Arabidopsis thaliana: one gene and its partner. The protein of the gene in region 1 interacts with the protein of each later gene in a biochemical or structural test. Each region holds a gene or a part of one and is shown in the gene's direction. Other genes may lie near its edges.

Region 1 (5,331 bases):
GCCAACCCGGCAAACACCAACGCATTGATCCTCAAGGAATTTGCACCATCAATCCCTGAAAAGAACATCTCTTGTTTGACAAGGCTTGACCACAACAGGGCTTTGGGACAGATCTCTGAGAGGTTGAGCGTGCCAGTGTCTGATGTTAAGAACGTGATCATCTGGGGAAACCACTCATCCTCACAGTACCCAGATGTCAACCATGCTAAAGTGCAGACCTCGTCTGGAGAGAAGCCTGTCCGTGAGCTCGTCAAGGACGATGCATGGTATGTATAACATGCCATAGAACTTAAGACCCTTTCTCTTCTCTGGAAGCAAAATCTAGTTTCACTTAAATATATTGCTCATTCTGTAGGTTGGACGGAGAATTTATCTCTACAGTTCAACAACGTGGAGCTGCAATCATCAAGGCGAGGAAGTTGTCTAGTGCGCTCTCTGCTGCTAGCTCTGCTTGTGACCACATCCGTGACTGGGTCCTTGGAACTCCAGAGGTTCATAATAAAACTCTTCCCCGTTATTTGCAGTGCTGTTTTTTTGTAACAGTTAATCTAATATGAGTTCTTTCTTTGATTCAAATTGTCAGGGTACGTTCGTTTCCATGGGAGTATACTCCGATGGCTCTTACAGCGTTCCATCAGGACTTATCTACTCCTTCCCTGTAACTTGTCGCAATGGAGACTGGAGTATTGTCCAAGGTAAATATGACGCACTTACAAACTCAAATGCTCATCAATTATGAAATCCTAGATTCTGCAGACCCTAATGTGTATTTTGTTTGGTTAGGCCTTCCGATTGATGAAGTATCAAGGAAGAAGATGGATTTGACTGCAGAGGAGCTCAAGGAAGAGAAGGACTTGGCGTACTCATGCCTCTCTTAAACCCTTCTGGAGCAAAATTTTCATCTATAAGGTGTGAGATCAGTTAAAGCCTTTCAGGGCTTTGTCCGAATAAGAAGTGTGTTTGAAAGATCTCCAAACACTGTTTTATAACCTCTTTGGTCTCTTTGATGAGTATTGTCCCTGGTCTGTTTCTAAACCAGGATATCGTTTTTTTCAATGTGTCTGATTTGGTTTACCCATGAAAAGAAGAAAATTGGCAGTTGCATGGTTATCTTTTGCGATTATTTTTTTCTGCTTTAGCAATTAGCCCAAAATTGATGAGCTCTTCGATAATGGGTTTGTGCAATTGTGATTTGTGAGGAATGGTGTTATTGTGTTGCAATTGCAAAAAGAAATGCTACTCTTGCAGATTCATACCAAAACCAAATCACTAGATTAAACTGAAATTCTAATGTGGATTATTTTAATTTTACTTCTATTTTTCTTCACCCAAATATTTTATAACCAAACACCAAGTTGACACCAAAATATACATCCAAAAAACTTAGATTGCTTCTATTTTACGACTATCCGAAATCGAATCATAAACCGTAGGCAATGGTCCATTAATAAGGGGTATACGAGGATTCAAAGTTTGAGAGAACTTTTTTATCTTTACCTTTTTCCTTTTGTAAAGTAAAAGCAGTGGATTTTGATTATAGATTCTACTTGGTAATGACTAATGAGAATCAAGTTCTCACCTTTAAGCCATATAGACTTTAGATATTTAATGGATTCTACAAAAGTGGGCATGACCAGAATCGAGTTCATGAACCACCGTCCTCGGCCCCAACGTTAAAAAACTTTTTTCTCTAGCATAAGAAGATAAGAGTATCTTCACTGCGCTTTAGGCCCACTCAACATTCAAACAAAATTCGATCTCTTATAAAAAAATATCTCACAAGAGAAAGTTCGTACATGATCCCGATAAAATCGTAGATGAGCAAATCAAAGATGAGATGTCGGTAAAAAAAACGCTATTATAAGAACACACGCCACTAGTTGTGGATAAAGTTGTCTACTTTTGTCTCGTTGTGATTATTATATTGCACAATTATTAACATTCATACTCTCATATGGGTATTGTTTTTGGTCTCCGTTAGATCTCAAATCTTTAACTTTGCATACCCAAAATAGGAAGAAAGAAGAGTCAAGTCACTAAAATAACTTTCACAGTCTTTGATTCGAAGATCTTTGTCGCCGAGAGATATCCACTCTGATTTGAGTTCTGGTAAAAAGTTTCCAGCTTTTGATTTTTGTTTCTCTCAATTGAATTTCTCTTGCTTGCTCTGTTTAAAAGGATTAGGATTAAATCGAATCTCTCTCTGTTATGTTTTTTTGTAGATTATTTTGGATTTTAGGACTCAAAGATTACAGATTTCTTATCAATCATTCTCTGTTATTGTTATAGAACTATTCTCTGGAGGAGGTTGAGGTCTGAAATCATGGAACAACTTGGTTAGAGTGTGGAATTTTAGCTGATTTGATCTTTGATTCATCTGTGATCATAATAACTATGAAGATGGACAAAAAGACTATAGTTTGGTTTAGAAGAGACCTAAGGATTGAGGATAATCCTGCATTAGCAGCAGCTGCTCACGAAGGATCTGTTTTTCCTGTCTTCATTTGGTGTCCTGAAGAAGAAGGACAGTTTTATCCTGGAAGAGCTTCAAGATGGTGGATGAAACAATCACTTGCTCACTTATCTCAATCCTTGAAGGCTCTTGGATCTGACCTCACTTTAATCAAAACCCACAACACGATTTCAGCGATCTTGGATTGTATCCGCGTTACCGGTGCTACAAAAGTCGTCTTTAACCACCTCTATGGTATATACTCTTTCATCTCTTATTCAAAGGATATATATTCTTATTAAGTTAGTGTAGTCTAAGTGCAACTGAGGTTGATGCGATCACGTTTTTCTTTGTTGTAGATCCTGTTTCGTTAGTTCGGGACCATACCGTAAAGGAGAAGCTGGTGGAACGTGGGATCTCTGTGCAAAGCTACAATGGAGATCTATTGTATGAACCGTGGGAGATATACTGCGAAAAGGGCAAACCTTTTACGAGTTTCAATTCTTACTGGAAGAAATGCTTAGATATGTCGATTGAATCCGTTATGCTTCCTCCTCCTTGGCGGTTGATGCCAATAACTGCAGGTAAAACCTTAAAGAGTATTACTTAAAAGCTAAAACGTTTTTGATTTCTTCAGGACATAAGCGGTAGTAAAAGTTTATGGCTTTTTCTTTGTTAGCGGCTGAAGCGATTTGGGCGTGTTCGATTGAAGAACTAGGGCTGGAGAATGAGGCCGAGAAACCGAGCAATGCGTTGTTAACTAGAGCTTGGTCTCCAGGATGGAGCAATGCTGATAAGTTACTAAATGAGTTCATCGAGAAGCAGTTGATAGATTATGCAAAGAACAGCAAGAAAGTTGTTGGGAATTCTACTTCACTACTTTCTCCGTATCTCCATTTCGGGGAAATAAGCGTCAGACACGTTTTCCAGTGTGCCCGGATGAAACAAATTATATGGGCAAGAGATAAGAACAGTGAAGGAGAAGAAAGTGCAGATCTTTTTCTTAGGGGAATCGGTTTAAGAGAGTATTCTCGGTATATATGTTTCAACTTCCCGTTTACTCACGAGCAATCGTTGTTGAGTCATCTTCGGTTTTTCCCTTGGGATGCTGATGTTGATAAGTTCAAGGCCTGGAGACAAGGCAGGACCGGTTATCCGTTGGTGGATGCCGGAATGAGAGAGCTTTGGGCTACCGGATGGATGCATAACAGAATAAGAGTGATTGTTTCAAGCTTTGCTGTGAAGTTTCTTCTCCTTCCATGGAAATGGGGAATGAAGTATTTCTGGGATACACTTTTGGATGCTGATTTGGAATGTGACATCCTTGGCTGGCAGTATATCTCTGGGAGTATCCCCGATGGCCACGAGCTTGATCGCTTGGACAATCCCGCGGTAAACTACAAAACTTGTCTTATAGTTTAGAATTCAAAGCTTAATACCAGTTTTTGCTATGCATTCGTTTTTTATTTTATTTTTCAGCTTATTTGGTTTGGTTGATTTAGTTCTGAAGTCTATGAAAACTCTGTTTTTATTTCAGTTACAAGGCGCCAAATATGACCCAGAAGGTGAGTACATAAGGCAATGGCTTCCCGAGCTTGCGAGATTGCCAACTGAATGGATCCATCATCCATGGGACGCTCCTTTAACCGTACTCAAAGCTTCTGGTGTGGAACTCGGAACAAACTATGCGAAACCCATTGTAGACATCGACACAGCTCGTGAGCTACTAGCTAAAGCTATTTCAAGAACCCGTGAAGCACAGATCATGATCGGAGCAGCACCTGATGAGATTGTAGCAGATAGCTTCGAGGCCTTAGGGGCTAATACCATTAAAGAACCTGGTCTTTGCCCATCTGTGTCTTCTAATGACCAACAAGTACCTTCGGCTGTTCGTTACAACGGGTCAAAGAGAGTGAAACCTGAGGAAGAAGAAGAGAGAGACATGAAGAAATCTAGGGGATTCGATGAAAGGGAGTTGTTTTCGACTGCTGAATCTTCTTCTTCTTCGAGTGTGTTTTTCGTTTCGCAGTCTTGCTCGTTGGCATCAGAAGGGAAGAATCTGGAAGGTATTCAAGATTCATCTGATCAGATTACTACAAGTTTGGGAAAAAATGGTTGCAAATGATCAAAATAATGTGCTGTTATAAAGCCTAACATGTAGATGTGTGAATGTGTCTTTTAACTCTTTGTTTCCTTTTGGTTATACTCAAAAGGATATGATTGCATAAACATATAATGCTGATATTATTTCAATTGGCTATGAATAAAATATACATATTTGTTTAGTCTTTGAATTTGTTTCATCTGAGTTGTTTAGTTTGAGGAAAAAGATAACGGCCAATTTATATTTCTTTATAAAGAAAAGAAAGGAAATCTCGATACACGACGTTTTTATATGAAACAAATGCAGTTGGAAATAAAAGTAACAAATCATTGGTCTAAAAACCCCAATGAAAAATAGTAACTAAATGACTGAATACTACGGTAAGATTTTTTTAATTTCTATAAAAATATAAGATTTTTTTTGATGATTAAAATATTTTTTTATAATCAATTACAAATAATTATCATATCTTGAAAACAACAAGAATTTTTTTGATATAATAAAAATATTAAATTAAATTACAAAAATAAACGATACTAGAATTATATTTCATTGAAATTTCTTATATATATATATAGCTGATATTTTAATACAATTATTAATTTATGATATTGATGGGACTATATGTTTACATAGGATTTTCAAAAAAAAAATATTTTATTAATTTATCGATTTGTATCGCTTTTTACACTAGTCCCAAATACTGAAAGAATTTATTATTTTATAAAAATGATTAATTTATCGAATATTAATTTATAAAGGTTTTACTGTACTT
Region 2 (4,124 bases), on another chromosome or scaffold:
ATAACAATAACTCATTTATCATTAAATCATTTTTATAACAATAACTAGTAACCATAAAAAATATAAATACTTCTTGGATGTTAAGAAAAAAAAACAATTCTTCTTTTGACGAAAAAGACTTCTTAGGAAAGTTGTATACCTTTAAAATACATGCAAGTTATATGAAAGTTTATAAAATTCACAACTCTTCTTTATTTTAAAACCCAAAAAAAAAAAAAAAAAAAAAGTCCTCTTATTTATACGTCTAATTCCCATGCATATATCGAGAATAACCCATCATATAGGAATTAGGCTCCCATCATGTGATCATGATTCATGAGTCATGACCATTGGATCTCCCCTCATTATTGTTCCATCAGAAATTTCTACGTCGATGATATGTTTCTAATTCTAATTTTTTTTACAGCAATTTCTAATTCTAATTAAGAACTCTCCCATATACAAATTGATATAGATATCTTTTAGTAAGTTAGTAACAACACTTAATTAAACATAGATAAATATACGTGCACAGATCAATTCTCCAGTTTAAGGAAAGAAATTGGATAGATGTATTTAAATACTTTTGTATAAATAATATAACTATCTCCAATACAACACACCGAATCAAATGTCAACATCTACATACATGTCGACATGAATTTATGAACATATATGTACAAGGTGATGGGGAACCCACAAATTAGGTGTGTGGCTTTACTTTTTTTAGTGTATGCATGTATAGTATGATAGGGAGGGAAATAGCTGATCATCATCTTCTATGGACTTAGTCCAAATTCATCACATCAAAAGGCAACGACCATGTCTTTGTTTCTAACAACTTTACACCCTCCCCTTTCCTTATCTACTAACTCCATGTATCTGCTTTAAAGGTTAATATATAACTGGACTAAGCAAAATAAAAGAGAGTTGGGTTTTCATTATAGAATCGAGAAGATTTCATGTCCCTATATCAATCACATAAAGCGTTTTCCAATAACATAAAAAGTCGGATAAATGAAAATATTTGAGAATCTAAAACAATGTCATATATACTTTAATGGAAGGTCCTTTTCTTCGAAATATTTGCTCACCGAAATCGGTGAAAGTGATCTAAGACTAAAACTAACTTGTGAGTAATTCATGTGATGGGCCTTCTGCATCGAAAAAGAGCATGGCGATCACGTGGCAGCCTCTCTTGCGCCGTCTCAGTATTAGCCTATCACGATAGAGTAAGCCAATGTATACAGCATGGCGATCAGACACATGATGATGATCGATCTGAATAACAAGATTCCGAAGGATGTAATAAATTCATGTGAACAGTGCTTCGTAGCTAAACTAAGACCAGAGCTATTGAAATGAGGTAAAGTGTTTTCTTTGTAACCCCATTTTAATTAGGTGAAATATCTAGCGCACACACCAATCTGATTCATATAATCATAACTAGCTTGTAAACTACAAAATTATTTTTCATTGTGTTACAACTAGACCATTCCCACGTGACCATTCACGTGCTCCTATAATGAAAGAAACCTAAAGAAGAGACGCTCCAATTCGCATAGACATCCCAAGCTTATCCTTTCTTAGTGAATCAAGATCCAATTTACACTATAATACATGCATATATTACGTAATAAATGTTTTATAAGTTTTCTGTGTCACTCACTATTTTTAGTTATTTTCTCAATTTTCAATCATCGCAAATATCAATTATCACAAAACATATAAAGTTTCCAGATTTGTATATGGGCCTACCTTATTAGATGCGATGAATATGGACTAAGTACAGAGCTGATGGTTTTTGTTATAAATATCGTTTCCTCTTCTACCCTCACCTTTACTCTGTTTCTTTCTCCACTCTCTCTCTCTCTCGTTGCAAGCAACTTGTTTTCTGAATCCAAAGAAGACGATAACGATGAATGGAGCTATAGGAGGTGACCTTTTGCTCAATTTTCCTGACATGTCGGTCCTAGAGCGCCAAAGGGCTCACCTCAAGTACCTCAATCCCACCTTTGATTCTCCTCTCGCCGGCTTCTTTGCCGATTCTTCAATGATTACCGGCGGCGAGATGGACAGCTATCTTTCGACTGCCGGTTTGAATCTTCCGATGATGTACGGTGAGACGACGGTGGAAGGTGATTCAAGACTCTCAATTTCGCCGGAAACGACGCTTGGGACTGGAAATTTCAAGAAACGGAAGTTTGATACAGAGACTAAGGTTCGTGTGTAAAGAAAACTTAAGTTTAAGTTCTATAAATGAAAAAGAAAACAGATCTTACTTTGAGATTTGGCTTATCTGTTTCTTCTGTGTGTGCTTTTAGGATTGTAATGAGAAGAAGAAGAAGATGACGATGAACAGAGATGACCTAGTAGAAGAAGGAGAAGAAGAGAAGTCGAAAATAACAGAGCAAAACAATGGGAGCACAAAAAGCATCAAGAAGATGAAACACAAAGCCAAGAAAGAAGAGAACAATTTCTCTAATGATTCATCTAAAGTGACGAAGGAATTGGAGAAAACGGATTATATTCATGTTCGTGCACGACGAGGCCAAGCCACTGATAGTCACAGCATAGCAGAACGAGTAAGAGAGCCTCATTAACTAAAATTCATTAACTTTGTTTTTTGTGTAATCATTGAGACTAATTATTAAAGTATTAAATTTGTGAAGGTTAGAAGAGAAAAGATCAGTGAGAGAATGAAGTTTCTACAAGATTTGGTTCCTGGATGCGACAAGATCACAGGCAAAGCAGGGATGCTTGATGAAATCATTAACTATGTTCAGTCTCTTCAGAGACAAATCGAGGTCTGAAAATTATTTCCATTTATAGAAAATATGTTTTAAAGACTAATTTTGCATTACCTTCCTAATTTGTTATCAAAATATTGTTTAAAACAGTTCTTATCGATGAAACTAGCAATTGTGAATCCAAGGCCGGATTTTGATATGGATGACATTTTTGCCAAAGAGGTTAGTCATTGATTTGTTTATGCTTATATGAAAAACAAAACTTTAAAGGCTATTTATAGATGAGCTAAAATACGCCATGTGGATTCAAAACCAGGTTGCCTCAACTCCAATGACTGTGGTGCCATCTCCTGAAATGGTTCTTTCCGGTTATTCTCATGAGATGGTTCACTCTGGTTATTCTAGTGAGATGGTTAACTCCGGTTACCTTCATGTCAATCCAATGCAGCAAGTGAATACCAGTTCTGATCCATTGTCATGCTTCAACGTAAGTCATATTTTTAATACTCTTTCATTATGATCTATCCTTTAGTTTAACTTTGGATATGATAATTTTTTACTAAATATGTTTTGATTGTTACAGAATGGCGAAGCTCCTTCGATGTGGGACTCTCATGTGCAGAATCTCTATGGCAATTTAGGAGTTTGATTAAGAAACCAATCCACAACATAACAATGTTCCCTAATTCAAATTATTCATCGGAAGAGAGAGCAAACCAGTAGCTGTTATTTACTAATTCCACTAGATTATTGACTTGAGATCCCCCGCCCATTAGTTGATGTATCAAAGAGTGTAGACATTATTGTGTATAATTTGCAAACCAGTCCAGTAATATATTTCTTATCGGTGGACTTGTGTCTTTAATTCAAGGTGTGTTCTCATCTTCTTGTGGTGAATGATCATCCATTAGTATTTTTTTTTTTAGTATACAATGCCACAAGTCATGCGACCATGAAATCAAGAAACAAGACACCAGTCGTTTAACGTTATGTTTTACATCTTATCACTAACAATCTTCTAATCTATGTTTTGGTTACTTTGAAAAAGCGGGACTAATCCCAAATTTAAAGCAATTGAATAAACAACACCTGTTAAGCGTGGCGGACAAAACGACGACAATGTAAGAGAACTGAGTCAGAGATTAAAACCTATGACCAACCCATTGGAACTAAACTATCCTAATTCTCTATACGGAGAGTATATATAAATGGAGGAGGAGAAGAAGAAGAGCAGAGTTTTGATCATCGGAGCAACAGGAAGATTAGGGAACTATTTGACCCGTTTCAGCATCGAATCGGGTCACCCGACTTTCGCTCTCATCAGAAACACCACTCTCTCCGATAAGCTGAAATCTCTCTCCGACGCCGGCGTTACCCTCCTCAAAGTCTCTCTCT

The links. Proteins that work in one complex are often made in the same cells at the same time.
Region 2: the proteins of CRY2 (region 1) and CIB1 form a complex in vitro, tested with the Arabidopsis thaliana proteins (one study listed by BioGRID).

What each region holds. Positions count from the first base shown.
Region 1 is NC_003070.9:1,184,965-1,190,295, reverse strand, and holds CRY2 (cryptochrome 2), read left to right. Parts: upstream 1-1,599; 5' UTR 1,600-2,109; intron 2,110-2,222; exon of another isoform or gene 2,223-2,289; 5' UTR 2,290-2,394; coding exon 2,395-2,707; intron 2,708-2,811; coding exon 2,812-3,036; intron 3,037-3,131; coding exon 3,132-3,844; intron 3,845-3,989; coding exon 3,990-4,577; 3' UTR 4,578-4,784; downstream 4,785-5,331. Other genes in the region: c-NAD-MDH1 (Lactate/malate dehydrogenase family protein), read left to right, coding at 1-266, 356-491, 584-695, 784-878.
Region 2 is NC_003075.7:16,496,569-16,500,692, forward strand, and holds CIB1 (cryptochrome-interacting basic-helix-loop-helix 1), read left to right. Parts: upstream 1-1,822; 5' UTR 1,823-1,897; coding exon 1,898-2,200; intron 2,201-2,303; coding exon 2,304-2,564; intron 2,565-2,651; coding exon 2,652-2,786; intron 2,787-2,879; coding exon 2,880-2,951; intron 2,952-3,045; coding exon 3,046-3,216; intron 3,217-3,312; coding exon 3,313-3,378; 3' UTR 3,379-3,606; downstream 3,607-4,124. Other genes in the region: AT4G34540 (NmrA-like negative transcriptional regulator family protein), read left to right, coding at 3,938-4,114. UniProt on the Arabidopsis thaliana protein: Transcription factor that binds DNA to G box 5'-CACGTG-3' and, to a lower extent, to E-box 5'-CANNTG-3' in vitro. Binds to chromatin DNA of the FT gene and promotes its expression, and thus triggers flowering in response to blue light.